2 linked regions of the Styela clava genome follow. The protein of the gene in region 2 purifies or fractionates together with the protein of the main gene of each other region. This does not show direct contact. Links are inferred from orthologs where the notes say so. Each region holds a gene or a part of one and is shown on either strand. Other genes may lie near its edges. The genes, in order: 10 kDa heat shock protein, mitochondrial-like; superoxide dismutase [Cu-Zn]-like.

What was found.
Region 1: the proteins of superoxide dismutase [Cu-Zn]-like (region 2) and 10 kDa heat shock protein, mitochondrial-like purify together in Homo sapiens (affinity purification with mass spectrometry; 3 studies listed by BioGRID, with this or other methods). This does not show direct contact. The link is inferred for Styela clava from reciprocal best matches to the Homo sapiens genes SOD1 and HSPE1.

What each region holds. Positions count from the first base shown.
Region 1 is NC_135258.1:11,549,442-11,556,699, forward strand, and holds 10 kDa heat shock protein, mitochondrial-like, read right to left. Parts: upstream 2,165-7,258; 5' UTR 2,015-2,164; intron 1,416-2,014; 5' UTR 1,406-1,415; coding exon 1,097-1,405; 3' UTR 917-1,096; downstream 1-916. Other genes in the region: 26S proteasome non-ATPase regulatory subunit 6-like, read left to right, coding at 2,460-2,607, 3,103-3,308, 3,786-3,931, 4,224-4,443, 4,701-4,809, 4,977-5,145, 5,653-5,827; RWD domain-containing protein 3-like, read right to left, coding at 6,293-7,090. UniProt on the Homo sapiens protein: Co-chaperonin implicated in mitochondrial protein import and macromolecular assembly. Together with Hsp60, facilitates the correct folding of imported proteins.
Region 2 is NC_135250.1:19,865,377-19,874,224, reverse strand, and holds superoxide dismutase [Cu-Zn]-like, read left to right. Parts: upstream 1-5,408; 5' UTR 5,409-6,580; coding exon 6,581-6,770; intron 6,771-7,348; coding exon 7,349-7,635; 3' UTR 7,636-8,368; downstream 8,369-8,848. Other genes in the region: uncharacterized protein LOC120337233, read right to left, coding at 1-1,445; peroxisomal multifunctional enzyme type 2-like, read left to right, coding at 8,436-8,493, 8,832-8,848. UniProt on the Homo sapiens protein: Destroys radicals which are normally produced within the cells and which are toxic to biological systems.

The sequences.
Region 1 (7,258 bases), on a different chromosome or scaffold from region 2:
AAGTTTAAAATGAAATATGCATGAAAAAATACTACAGATATTGCTACCCCTATTTCAATTAGCTTAGATGAAGCTACATGTGTAGCACACTATTGATTTAACATTTGAAACTTTCTCATCTTTTTCCTTTGTAAAAATTTAGTAGTTTATTCTTTGTCTTTTTTGCTACATCTTGTATTCCGCACATTGGTGTGTGTTCTTATCTCAAAGAAGCGATTGGGACGAAAAGCTTAAGATGTTCAGCTGCGCGAGAAAGAAATCAAAAAATAATATAAGCTGTTTAAATTGTTTCCTGATGCCATATTCCAAGTGCAATTGATCAGTGATTTCTCTGGTGAAATATATTTTTCTTTGAAACTTGTCATTCAATAAATCTATCTTGTGAATTTTCAGTGGTATCAAATAATTCTAAGTGTCATCTTGTTGCAGTGATGTTTTGAGGCTCACATTTAATAAAAGTGTCTGGGCATTTTGAAAATAATTTAGTGAAAATGGATGCGTGGGTGGGTTCATGCTTAAGTTGGTCCTAATGATGTTCATTTGAGCATTCTTGCACACCATTGGCTCGCAATTATAACGAAAAAAGGTCTAGACCTGACATGGGCCAAATCCGGCCCGCCCGATGCTACGCAACGAAACTAAAACCAAATTTTGATCTTTTATCTGAAAAATAGCTCAAGGAACGTTTAGTTTTCGCAAAAGGCTTATTGTTTTCCTAATTTGCTTTTGTAACACTGTAAATATTCTTCAACTTTTCACATCACCCTTACATGGCTTGCCAGTCTAAGTGAGCAAAATTTTTGGTCCCTGGCCCACGCCTGTTCTAGACTGTCATATGTGCATATAGAAGACTTATTTCTAAAATGATACAAAATTTGCAACCGGCATCGTTAACTGTTCCCCGCAACATCAAGAATTGGTAGAAAGATTTAATGACCACAGCGGCAGTATACACACAAATGTATCAGCGAATTACGATAATATATTACAATAGGTAATTATTCAAAAACACTGCTGCTCTGCCAGTTTTTTTGCAACGATGGTAGCTCCAGACATGATTGGAAAATTTCAGTTTTTGCATGGGTAATAGCAGTTTTCAACTCTCAAATTTACCTAGAATATCTCCATCACGGAATAAATGGTATTCATCGTCATCAAGCAAGACTTTTGTGCCACCATATTCTGGAAGTAAAACACTATCACCAACGTCAACGCTCATTGGAATAAGTTTGCCATCTTTGTCTTTCGTGCCTGGACCTTTTGCAACCACTTTAGCTTGTAAAACTTTGCCAACAGATTTTTCAGGGAGAACAATTCCTCCTTTTGTCGTTAACTCTGGTGCACTTCGTTCAACCAACACTCTGTCAAATAGCGGCAGAAATTTCTTGAAAGCTTTTGCTGCCATTTTTGATTTTCTGAAAGATAAACGATAAGATAAGAAGTGCTGTGAAACCATATTTTATTAGGAGTGCCGAATCCTAAGTGTTCAGCACGTACTTCTTGGTCTTTTTTCATCAAATTCCTCCCTTCGCTTTTTTGGAACTCCTCATTCCCCTCTTGCTATGTACAAAAAATACTTTATTTATTCAATCTTTAATGAATCCTAGCTAGTACTATGCACAAGTAGCACCCCGCTTTTGTGTAATTTTAAAATGTGTACTTAAATAAGTAGTCTATTATAGTGAAAATAAAGAACTAAAATTGTTTACAGTATTAGTAATACTATGGCAAATACAAAGCCTACCATGAAACATACGGACATAACAAGTGATAGTTGGGCTAGGGAAATTTCTTTCTGTGGCCAATTGGCATAGTGCATTAGTTTTAACACCGGTTGAATTCATAAAATGATAGAGATGTGATTGCACTAAGTTAGAAGATTCAGAGGTCGTACGGTAAGACTGTAAGAGCCCTGATGCAGTGCTAGATCAAGAAGTCCCACGCAAAATTGCAGATGTATGTTTTAGTAACGGTACTGCTATGCTCAAAATAAAATCACTCATAAAAAACTCACCTCAACGTTAAACGCGATGCGGCAGGTCAAACACAACTCAACAGAAGAGGCGAAGAAATTTCCCGAAGCAAAACCACGCTCGATTTTCACCAGGGTTGCAACATGCGTTTCTGAAATGAAAAATAAACAACTTATTGTGACACCTAGTAACATACTACAACGAGAAGTGAATACTTTTGGGAAAATAAGTTTCAATATGTATGTAAATATTAAAATAAATGAATAAAAATATTTTAAAAGTGTTTCTTGAATAAAATATTGTGGTTACAGACATTAACATTAATTCATATGACGTAATAAATCCATCAAAATATCGCTTAATCATATTATATGAATCAGCTCATTTCTTGAGTTAGTGTGTGTTCGTCTTATTTGATCTATCTGTAGCGTTTCAGTTCAATCCGTCTTTATTTAGTTTCAGCATTTTATACATTTACATCACATAATGCCGGTTGAAAATTTAGAAGAAGAAGGTCTGAAAAAGATTCCAGACTTGGAAGTCGCGCAGTTGAAGTTCTTATTAACGTCGGACGATGAGGAAATCCAGCAAACAAAAATTAAAAAACAATTTATGGAAGCGATCGAAGCAAATGGCAAGTTTTAGAAGTTATTTTGCTAAAATTAGGATGAATTCCTCAAATTGGTTTTTAAGAAGAATTGGTGTTTCTATCTGAATATTATTGCATTTTATTACAGTATTATTGTTCTCAAACTCATGAAAACTCATTTATGATTTTATTTAAGATTTGTTTTAAGTTTGAGAAAACATGACGATTATACAGTTTAAGATTGATTGAATAATATATGAACAATGTGTTCATGAGTCGTGACAAGTTTGTATTATTAATGTTTGTATTGTATCAATGACCATTATTTAATCGAAATTCATTCTTTTCAAACTTGACGTTGGCCGACTTTAACTTCTTGTTTACTATGGTGCCAACCTAAATGTAGAATTACCTCCTATTCTGAAATAACAGTTTATACAGACCCATCTTTTCCAACCAACCAATAATCATCAATATGCTTGAATGATAATAAATTAATATGCCACAAGATGTGTAATTTAGACGTTTTCTTTTTTACAGAGATGGCACCCTATTATGAAATTGTTTGCAAAGAACTTGGAATGAAAATTAACAATACACTTTTAAAGAAATTGAAGGATACAAATGAGAAGACATTAAAAAAACTTGAAGATAAAATAACAGAAACTGAAGAAATGGAATATGAAAGTGAAGTCAGAGATGCTTTACTTGCAAAGGCTGAATATTTGTGCAAAATTGGTAACAAGGTAACAACAATTCCCTAGAATGTTTATTCATAACAGTCGACTGGGGCTGTGGATTTTGGGATCATTTTTGCCCGACTCAATTGAAAAACAAATCAGACTCTCGATTCCGAGTTGAAGAAAGTTTAAATTTTGATTATAATAACTTTGTCACATGCAAGCCTTCCTTGTCAACTTTATTCATTTTGATTATATGTTTGAAATCTGCAATCCAGATTCTGAAATATTCAATTGGATTCCGGATTCCGGGGGGTTTGAAAATGCGACTCCAATGTCAATAAAAACATGCAAAGTCAGGACTCTCACTTCCAATTAAGGTTTAGAAATGAGCTGTTCATCAATTCAATATAGCTTCTAAATGTTCTAATATTAGTCTACAATTTCATGATTTTCAACAATATGTAATAGCACAGTAAAGACATGCTCGTAAAAATTAGTCTTAATTACATATATTTATGCCTTTCCTCAAATAACTTTCAGGATGACGCTCTCGAAGTTTTCCAGAAAGCATATGATAAGACCATTGCACTTGGACACAAGCTTGACATCATTTTCTACAGAATTCGACTGGGATTGTTTTTTATGGATCATGATCTGATTACCAAGAGCATAGAGAAGGCAAAAATGTATGAAATATATTTGTTGTGCATTTTAGTTTAGAATTAAGCCCTTTGTGGCATGCACTATTTGTCCTTAGGTGATATATAATTTGGATTTTCTCTCGAAACAAAGCCATGTACAAGTAGCAAGTATCTAGCGATTCTGCCTTCATTTTTTACATCCTGGATTGGTAGACAGTGTGACCAGGGTACAGATGTCAACATTTTCACACCACGATACATCAATTTATTTCTGTTTATGATAAGTGTTTGTGATAACGATTGTTAACGATCTATACCAACTTTTATTGTTTTTCAGTTTAATAGAGGAAGGTGGTGATTGGGATCGGCGAAACAGACTAAAAGTTTATGAAGGTTTGTATTGTATTGCGATTCGAGATTTCAAGAAATCAGCAAATTTGTTTCTGGATACTGTATCAACATTCACATCCTATGAACTTATGGATTACAAATGCTTTGTCACATATGCTGTTTACATCAGTATGCTTGCTCTTGATAGAACCGAGTTAAGAGAAAAAGTGAGTTCTATTTAATGCACAACTTTACTACATTTTTTTACTACACAATTCAGTGATGATTTATCATTATGCGAAACTTAACTACAATTTACTTCAGTACATATTAACAACATATATTGATAACTCAATTCAAGCCTATAGTTAGGACATTGGGCCAAGTGTTGATAAGAGTAATTACTAGCAATTGAACCATCGTTTACCCTATTTTTGCAGGTTATAATCATATAACTGAACTAACTTTTCAAACATCAATTCAGGTTGTAAAAGGTTCAGAAATCTTGGAAGTTTTGCATAGCAATAAGGAATGCAGAAGTTACCTGTTCTCATTGTATGATTGTCATTATGCAGAGTTTTTCCAGCGTCTAGGTATGACTTAGAACGTGGAAAATTTGAATTCTTAATAATTGTTTTTCATTGGGTAATATAATACTCTGTGTGATGTGATTTTGGAATAAGGATGTAAATGTCTTAAATTCATTTCATATTATCTTTTTATTAAAGAAGTGAAATTTATTTATTTTTGAATATTACAGCTCAAGTTGAGGTGGAAATGAAGAGAGATAGATTGCTGAATCCTCATTATAGATACTACACTCGTGAGATGAGAATACTTGCTTATACACAACTCCTTGAATCATATCGTAGTCTTACATTAGAATATATGGCTGAAGCATTTGGAGTTACTGTTGAATTCATTGATAGGTATGTTTACCTGAATCATTATATTAGCTATGGGGTGAACTTTGTACCATCAATGGGAAGCTACCAGATGTGGATATTGTTATTACTTTGCATACGAGAAAAATTTCTTCTTGATCTTCCATTTAGAAATTGGAATGTCGCTAACTAAGGGCTTAAGTACTTGAAAATTTTCAATCCTTGTCTGTCTGAATTGAGTCTTGGACTCTGCTTTTGATTCGAATACGAGCAACAGAAATGTGGACAATTTGCATTGCCTGATGAGTAAATGAATATCACTATCAATCGAGTATATCAGTTTAGTATGAATTGTATTCGGCATCTGAACTGCTAACTCCCATTCACGCAATTCACTTGTCCTTCCAAAAGAATATCTACATCTATATAGTCTCACGAGCCCTCTGATACTTTGCTCAGAGATCGGCGTCCTCTGTTTCCGAGTGAGTGTGACCTTGATACGATCAACCTAATTCTTGCAAATAAAAAAAAAATCTCATCTCGTTTACACAGGGAGTTGTCAAGATTCATAGCTGTTGGGAGACTGCATTGCAAAATTGATAAGGTCGGTGGGATCGTTGAGACCAACAGACCTGATAGCAAGAACTGGCAATATCAGGAGACAATAAAGAAAGGAGACTTGCTGCTAAACAGAGTTCAAAAACTATCAAGAGTCATCAATATCTAATTATACTCTTTATTTCGTATGATAGAAACAATTCTTGTGTCCATAATGTACCATGTTGTATATATAAAATTTCAAACAAATGTGCAGTGGTGGTAAAAATACACATTCTGTGAGTGGCAAATTCAGTGGAGATAATAAGAGAGCTATGCGGTAGCAGGCTAAAACAAGCCAATCCCTTAGATGAAAAAATGACGAGCCACCATTTACAATAAATACCAAACGGGTTCCTTAGAAATATAGTAAAAACAGCCAAAGCAAGTGTATGAACATTGTGAAACTAATATTGGATATTATACCCATAAGATTTTCAAAACAGATAAAATGTGGTTTTCTAGTATGTGACGAGAATAGAATACAGCAACAAATTTTAATGTGTAATGTGAACATAGCATGTGTTTGGCCTTATTTTTACAACCAATTAGCACATTCTATTGTTCACAGCCATGAATGAATTTAAATGAACTCTTACGCACGAGTAAGCAATGGTCTAAGTATGTCATACAACATGGACGTGAATCCTTCACTAAACAGGCTTTCCACCTCGTTTATTTCGGACAGTTCATGAACATGGAAGCCCTCAAATGGTACAAGGTCGTCTTCATAAGAATCTCTTAATAAAATAGTCATGAGCCGTTCTTTACAAGCATGACCAGCTGAATCAATATCAACTTTTTGAGTTCGCATCTTTTTTAAATATTCTTTAATATCATTCTTGTTACCGTACAAGATTATAAAAATGAGATGCTTGTAAAATAAAACAACACCCTGGACTTGTAATCGAGTTGCCCATTTTTGTAACGTTTTTAGATAATTGTTTTTTGAGCGCATATGATCAAGCTGTATCACACAAATTTCCTTCGTTTTATTCTTAGCAAGACTTCCTTCATCTCCGCAACCCTGAAGTCTATTCGAATTTACACCAGAAGCAAATTTTGCCACGTTATCTTTAATCCACAATATAAGGTCTAATAACATTTGACTGTTCAAAAGATTATTCTCTGTCGCAAACTTGGACATCTCGCTGTTCAGTCCAGAGGAAGATTCTCTTGTCAGCATTGGTGAATCAATTGTCACATGTGGCACAACTTCTGGATATTTGTGAGATATATAAAAAGTAATTCTGAGTTGTTGACAATTCTCCTCCGCGTGTGTCAAATTGAGTTTAAACGATTTAGATAAAGAGCTTTCCAGATCATTAGCTTCAAACTCTCCTTGCTGACAATAAATAGACTTCACGGCTTCAATTTCATCCAGAATGGACATAGTGGTATCGTAAAAATTTAAGATAGACTATTCACAAACAAATATATAATACAAATACATATATACAATACATCAGACTAAATATAAACAAATTCCAGGATCAAAAATGAAAATACATGACTATGCTAGCGAATTAACCAATTTCTTAAATTTTAGTCTGTTTTTTGG
Region 2 (8,848 bases):
CACCATGTGATACATGGCTTCAATATCAGCATAACTCCAATCAGACTCTTAATGAGATCAGGTCCCGAATATATCTGATTATTCAAACCGATTCCACAATATGTATCCGCGGCGTCAAAAACTATTCGTATCTTGCCAGGTTTATTTGGATTCTCAACTCCATGATGAGGAAGATACCAAGTTCGAGGACCCAAAGTATCACGTTCTTTAACAGTCAGCTTTCGCACCCAATCACGTTCGATGTTTTTCCTCATAGAGGTGCCGTACATGTCTCTCAGACCGTCATTTTCCAACAGTCGTTTTTTCGGATTCCTACATCTCGTACGGGCAATAAGACTGTTCTCCAACATAATGGAAATATCGCGACGCCACCGAAAGCCGACTTTATAATGCCCATCAACAATAGACGTTTTAGCTCTATTCACATTCGCAGCCACGCGATCTTCCACAGATTCGGCGCGCTTCGTGTTGTAGCTCATTACCATCGCTTCCGTACTCGAAAATTGCTTAACTTGGTCTTGCAAGATATTGTAATCATCGTGTAATAAATGACAATTAGCATGAATTAAATCGTCTCCACAAGCGCGTTTGTTTGCGCCTAGCAAAGTCCATCCGAGTGGTGTTCTTATTGCAATCGGTTCATCGTCTCCCCCTACACGTCCTTCAAGTTGAAAGTGGGCAAATGGAAGGTCCGCACCTATGAGCAACATAACTTTGTTTTCTCTAGTGTCAGGAAGTGATAATCCACGTAAATGATGGAAGGATTCAAAATCTTTATGACTTCTTTCAGGGTGGGGAATTCTGGTGCCGCATACGAAAACTGACTTTAGATGTAGTTCTTTGCCGTCGGGATTCAATTTGTCACGCACAAAAAGTTCGACCGCTTCCGAGTCATGCAAGGCCCCAGTTCCTCCGAGGGTGGTTAACATGAGCCTTTTACGACGTCCACGCAAATCCAACTTAGTTTTGAGTTTGGGATGGATGAGAGAGACCTGACTTGCCGAATCAAGCAAAGCAACTGTATATTCGGAGCGTCCATTAGCTCCTCTAACCAGAACAGGCAGCAACTGAAATTGAACTCTAGTTGTTACCGACACCGCATTGTTTATACCCTGTCGGTTTATTGGTCTTGTGACGCTTTCAAACATGCGAATTCCATGAATACATTTGTGATGTTTCCCATTGCATATACTACACTCGACATCACATCTACACATAAATGCACGATGGCCCGGTTCAAGACATTTAAAGCAAAGTCTGTAATCTACAACAAAGTTACGTTTTACATAATCGGTCGCACCGAAAAACGTCTCACAACTTCTCAAAGAATGGCGAGCATTGCAGAATTGACAACGTGATGCGTCACTATATGACGTATTATCGGATTCCAAGTTTGATAACGTTGAAAATGGAGTCGGAAATCGGCGACGAGCGCTTCTGGGCATCTCGTGGTCAGTTAAATCAGTTCTATTGATCACATTGCAAGTAACATCTGGAGAAAAAGGATTGGCGATTTCTTCAGTTCTTTCCCACAACCATTGCTCAAAGTCAATTAATGTCGGATTAGAGTTTTTGTGAATAAAACCTACAACAAATTTATTCCAACTCGAGTTCAGTTCTTAAGAAATCCTGCTTGAAACCCTCCTTACATTCTCGACGCTACTGATGTCAGCCAAATAACACATCTTTTTGAGATTCACCACGCAGTCACGCACGTCTGAGTGAAAATTTAGCAATCTATCGGCCGAAAGAGGCGACATACGTTTTCCATTTACAACTCGATCAAGCACCGCCCGTGCGATCAGTACCGGCTGTCCGTAGCGGCGTTTTAATTCCTTTAAAACCAGTATGTAATGACTACCGGCGGTACCTAATCCCTCAACACGACGCTTCGCCGAACCCGACAAATACGCGGACAATCTCACCATGCGTTGACCATCATCGTCTAACCGTGAATGAACATTTTCATAAAACAATTCAATGAAATTAGGCCAGTTTATAGCTCTCCCATCAAACGGACTTATTTGTACCGGCGGCAAATGATGCTCAGCCCACATTTTAGAATTTAAACTCAAAGATAAACACGTTTGCTCAGCTAGAGAAATGTTATCATTTACCGTTCTGGATCCTGCTTGATTTGGTTGGAGATTATCGATCCAGGAGTCTACCGATTGGTCTGGCAACGGCATTTGGTTTGCTGGTGAAGGATTTTGGTAATGTCTTGGAGTGTAAGAAATCGTATATTCACGACGTTTATCTGACGCGGTAAAAGTCTCTGGTTCGAAGCGGGCACTTTTTCTTTGAGTTGATTGTAACACGTCGTGTTCGTCAAAGTTATTGAACCTGTGGCTCATAAAGGGACTCTTTAAAAGAGTTGGTGTCTCTCGGCAATCGTCGGGTTCTCGTGCTCTAGATTCTCGAAGTTGGTCAGTCGCCGCCCCCATTTCACCACCGGACTGCTTGGCGCACGCTGGCTGGAGATTTATTGTATTATCGCTGTCCTCTTCCATTCTTTCACTTGAAATCTGAGAGTTCCCTTCGTCAGGAGCCACGCACGATCTTTCAGGTTCACGGTCGATGTAACTATCAATTTCATCGTTCATACCTTCAACTTCAGATATAACTTTCTGAACGCATTCTTCGAAAGCAGCTTTCGACTCTGCGTTGCGAATTTGAGGTAATGTGTTCGATATAATTTTATTATAGGCGGCCAGTTTAAAATGTAACTCTGTTTTTAGGCATGCCAGCTGCGATCTTCGAGCCTTCTCGTTTATCAAATTTCGACTTTTGGTCATGACTGATTCAAACTCAGTCTCTGTGTTGATACGCTTTTGTCTAAGCGTGGATAAGGATGACAAGCCCTCAAACGTTTCGTCAGCTGCAGAGTCGCCTTCTTCCGTAAATGTCGACGATGAAGCCACTGCTGCTCCAGATTCTTTAGTATTTGACTTCTTCAACAAATGCGTCATATTCAACTTTGTCAGATTTAGGCACACAGATGTTCCATGTCATACGCGTTTATTGTAAAACGGTTGACTGTAAATAAAATGAAATAATCAAAAAACAATCACAATATGAGGGCGGAAAGAAAATGCATAACCTAAAGTTAATAGAAAATAAACTTACATATGATAACGCTCCAAAGGCCTAAATCGACAAGAAACTGACAGGAAACGTGAACGATAACGTTATTGGCATAAAAATAGCAACTAAATTTAGAAAGCAGTTAATAAGAATGAAATATAAAATACATGAACAATTAAAACAATAAATGACGACGATGGTCATATGGGTCCCCGGTTACGATACCCTCACCACAGTTCTACCTAACGAGACCAAATGCCACCCACACGCTAAGTCAATAAAGCGGATAATGCGAAACCACACCACTAACATCATAACAAGATTAAACAAGAACGTCCTACGACGCGTAAAGTCGAGATGCAAGAGCCACGCGTGACACGTCGGATGCAGTAAAGCCCGCGAAACTCCGGTCAAAACAGAAAAGCAATCATCGATAAAAATTAGCCGGTCGGAACGCAAGGAAGAACAGCGTTCAAAATATTATCAACTGAAAAGAAACTTCTATCGCCGACAACCACGACGTGGGTTAGCAGGTTCGAATGTCGTGGGGGATGATGTGCGAGAGGATTGATGGATTCTTCTCCACCGTAGGGTGGTTCACGTCACCGCTGCTCGGTTACGGCTTTCTCCATTATCAGGTCTATGCATCTAAAACAAATAACTGACTGCTGGGCTTACTAATATCATAATCCAGAATTTGGCATTTGACTCCCAACTATAATCAGCTTGGCGAAATCTTTTTTTCTTCTTGTCTTCATATTGAATACTGTTCACTCTTGTTTACAAATCTGTACTCTGGGAATTTTATTAAATGGTGTGGCAAACAATTCTTATTGGACACATAGTGGGCATAACGATCGTTTCAATATTATGTTGTTGTTGTTCTTGTTCTTTGACACGTTTTGAAAAAATCGTTTTTCTTATTGTTCACTGGACCAATTGTTTTGAAATTTCCAGTGAATAAAGATTAGATTTTTTGCTAGAGGGCTATTTATTTTCTGCTATGACGTCACAAAATTATTTGGTGCTACGTGTTCATACATTTGAGCATAGCTCTCTTGTTTCTAATTGGAATTCTTATTTTTATTCTAATTTTTTTCACTTATTTATTTATTTTATACTATAAAATTTATCTAGATCTCTTTTTTCTAACTTTAATATAGCCCCGTGGTTGTGTGTGTTAGTGAATTGATTCAATAATTTTAGGAGAGTGAACAGGTACCAATTCTTTTCGGCAAAACCTTCCATCTTATATTCTGTTCGTTTTGAACCTTATCCAAGGTTTTGTTTGCTCTCCTGATTTCATATTCAGTTTTTATTTATTTGTTTTTCTCAATTATTTATTCGCCCTTTATGCTTTATGGAGCCGAAGTATACTTACCGTAATCTCCCGTTTCATTTTGTGTGTATTAAGGAGTTTCCAAAATAAACTATCTATCTATATACCAGGAATGGACTTGTACCGGTAACCGGACGAGGGCCTTGGCCGCCGTCCTATTGGTTGCCCTATCCCTTGGAATTAATATGCAAATCCTATCACCATAACGCGCAGTTTGATTGGTTGTTGGGTGGGTGTTGTTCCGAAAATTACCAAAGTTCAAATTGTTGGTTACCGGGTTTGCTGTTTCAGCAGTTGCAGCTTTGCAGTTGGGTTAGGGTAGTTACGGTATAAATTTACGTACCGGTACCGGTACGTTACCAAAGCAGTGCAGTTTGCAACAAGATTCATACTACATATACACACGGTATATTTCTGTACCGGTATCCGTTGAAGACAATGACCAAAGTGAAAGCTATTTGTAAGCTCGATGGCGACAAAGGAGTAAAAGGAGACATTTTGCTGGAGTTGCAAGGTGATGGTACTTGCAAAATTACCGGCATAGTGGAAGGATTAAAGGCAGGAAAACATGGATTCCATGTTCATGAATTTGGGGACTTCTCACAAGGATGCATGAGCACTGGTGGCCATTTTAATCCAAATTTAAGAGAACATGCTGGTCCTGCAGAAGTGGATCGTCATGTTGGAGATTTGGGCAATATCATAGCGGAAGAAAATGGACAAGCTGTAGTAGATATTACTGATAGTCAAGTCACCTTGTGTGGTGCGAACTCCGTTATTGGAAGGGCAATTGTAGTTCATGCAGATGAAGATGACTTGGGTCGGGGAAAATTCGATGATAGCAAAACTACAGGCCATGCTGGGGCAAGACTAGCTTGTGGTGTGATTGGGATTACAAAATAGATTTAAATATAATTCCAGGGGGTTTGATTATATTTCTGTATTTCTTCAGTCACATCCTCTATTGTATTTAAGCCGACATCAAAATTAACAGATTGCATTTTGGAAACTGGATTAAAATGTAATAAAACTGTAAAATGAACATATTTTATAGAAATCAAATATAACCTGATGTTATGATGATTAAATGTCTGAAAAATTTCATAATTTAGTTCATATTAATTAGCAAATTATTGCGTTAATAAGGAAAAGTTTCTCTACTACAATGTTATATTTTGGTGAATATAATTTAGCATCATGATTTAGTACCATTGAATGTGTAAAGTTGTTTTCGTCATTAATTTTGCAATCCCTTGAATAATCTCACTGTTTAGTGAATTTGTTCCCTTTTTACTCTTTTGTGTCGATAAATTGAAATTTAATAAACACTGTAATGATTTGATGTATTTTTTTCAAATTTTTGAAGATATCACCTCATCTGTTTGCAAACTTCCATGGAGCTGGATGATTATGGGATCATCTTGAAATCTCTACTGTCATATATGATAATATACACTGTATCAGATCACAAGTTATGAAATCATTTTCTGATATAATATTCATCCATTTTTATTTGTCGCCTATATTTCTTAACATCGTTGAATTTTGGGCTTTGTCCCGTAAGCATTGTACACTATTTATTTCATCCTTTGATATGTGTTATTTGATTCATCTTCAAATCCTGCACATTATTCATTCCGTTTTGGTTTTTTACATTAATAGTATTTTGTATTATTGCTATTTTGTCATGTTTTTTTCTATAAATCATGATAGAAAATACCTATTGTGAATATAAACAATTGAGACCTGCATTTTTCTAGAGAGTGCCAACTACATCTGTCCATGTCCATATAGTTAAATTTAAAACGAATATCCTTAATGGACTCGATAAATAACGAAAACACGATATATATACATATGACGTTTTTCTTTGTAAAGTGTGACTTAAATTATGATTTCTCTACAATGATACATGCGAAGGACAATGAAAAAATAGTGAATTCTAATATTCATATTTATATCTGGGTGATCTTCCCGATAGTTGTGGAATCCCCTCTGTATAACATAGTAGTTATTAGTCTACCGGTACACCAGTATTTTTTTTTATATGAAGGTTCTATATTTGTTATTTTGTAAGTTTTTTCATTGTGAATGGTAGAGTTCATATGTGTCTATTGCTTTTTTATCGCAGAATAAATATCTATTCAAACAAAAATAATGGCTTCTCCCAAAACAGCCGTTTGCATTCTGGAAGGAAGTACTGAAGGTGTCAAAGGCATCATCAATTTTAAAGATATGGGTGATGGTACATGCTCCATCAAAGGTGAAATTACAGGACTGAAAACTGGCCAGCATGGGTTTCATGTTCATCAATATGGAGATTACACTAATGGTTGCACCAGTACAGGTAAAATTTATTCACTTTTGAAGTATGTTTCGACGAACTGCTGTTGTCCAGAGAGTGGAATTTCTCTAGGGAATCAACATTTTGAAATTTGCATTTGGCCATAAAGAAATAGCTGATAGTTTTCCATACTTCTTTCTTTTTTGTCAAAATAAAGAGTAACCCCCAAAAACACAGAACCCATATATTTCTTCAAATTACTTCTGTGATAATAAGAGTAAAATTTGGTCTTGTTTGGGTTTGAAATTCTGTTTGTGTATAATTGATGAAATCTAAGATGTTTTGCACGAAAGTTATGTTCTCTCAGGGATATGAAGAGAAAGTAATTACAAAGTTTATGGGTTCTGTTTTTTGAGGTGAACCATTATTAGGGGAGAATTGGAATTGGAATTTTAGCATCTCAAACATTCTTCGCCATTCAGAATATAAATTTCGAGCTATGGCAAACTTTATTGAATTCTGCATCGGATTTTCTGCAAACTAAGCTGTACTATTTAATTGCTAAAACAGTGTACCATAATTAATATGTTAATCTTCAAAAATTTATTATTCTTGAGTGAATTTCTGCTTTGTCCATTCAGGAGGTCATTTCAATCCGTATAATAAGGAGCACGGTGGTCCTGATGACACAGAGCGTCATGTTGGAGATCTCGGCAATATAATGGTTGATGAAAGTGGGAAAGCCACAATCGATATTACTGATAAGCAAGTTAAACTGGATGGTGAATTTTCTGTTGTTGGCAGGGCAATAGTTGTTCATGCGGATGTAGATGATCTGGGCCGTGGTGGTTTTCCTGATAGCAAAACAACGGGTCATGCAGGAGGACGACTGGCTTGTGGTGTAATTGGACTTTCTCCAGCCAAATGACTAATGAGTAAATCGTCATTATGAGCAGTGGTGTCTTGGAATATGTAATCATGTTTTATTGTCTGTCTGTTTATTTGGTTTATTGTTTCCAAAAGTCCAGACTTTTTGTCTAATTTCGTCCTGATAATGAATGCAACAATTTTTATTTTTGCGTAAGTTGGGATATTGTTTTCTGTTGTGGAACATAAAAGTGAAAACTCGAAAGTAATTGATAATAATGTTTATTATATTTGGTTTATTATTTTTAGGTTTTCAATCTTGTTGGTACAGTTGTGCTTGAAGTTAAAAACATGAAGATCAATGTTTTTTAGTGGTTTTTATGTTTTGATCTGTATTCCTTAGAAATTATTCTTGCGAGTATTGCCCAATTAAATCAACAAATTGAGACAAAATCATTATTAACAACCTATATGTTGTATTACATAAATTTTCATGACATTTTTTTAAATTTTTTCTTCATCCAAAACATGTTCCAGAAACCTTGTTTACTGCTCCAATAAACAATTTTGTTCCTGAAGTTTTCTCATGAATGGCCAATACGTGTTCTCTCTACAATCATTGTTTTGTTTGTACTTTTTTTGTGATATAGATCAACCAATAATGATTTTGTGTTTTATTGTTTTTTCGTAACTGAAAATAAGTTTTGAAATAATGCAAACTTAGTTCAAGTCTATGTAAAGTTCTTTTCAGCAATATTACAACATTTCATTCGTGTATATTTGTGGATTTCAGATTATTAGATTAAATTATCTAGGTTCTTAGAACGGCATTGGAAATTTTTTTCATCGCTTATCATTGAGATGTCGAACGAACTACGTTTTGATGGGAAAGTTGTGATTGTAACGGGTGCTGGTGGAGGTAAATTTAGGCATATATTACAATTTTAATGTAAAGTTAATCTATTTAAGCCATTCAAAATCTGAATTAAATTTTAGAATAAAAAATAGATAAAACCATTCACAACATTTCTCAATCCTCCGATCTTTCAATACCAGATACACTTCAATACAGTTTATGAAATAAAGCTATAAAAATATCACTTGTATGTTAAAATTACTGCAACTAGAAATTGATTTACAAATTCCATGTCATATAGCATCCTTAGTTCAAATGTGTTCTTTTTTCCTATTATTATTTTTGTTTTATTATTTATAATTGTATCAGGAACTCTTTAATAACATATCTATTTATTTCAGGCCTTGGAAGAGCATAT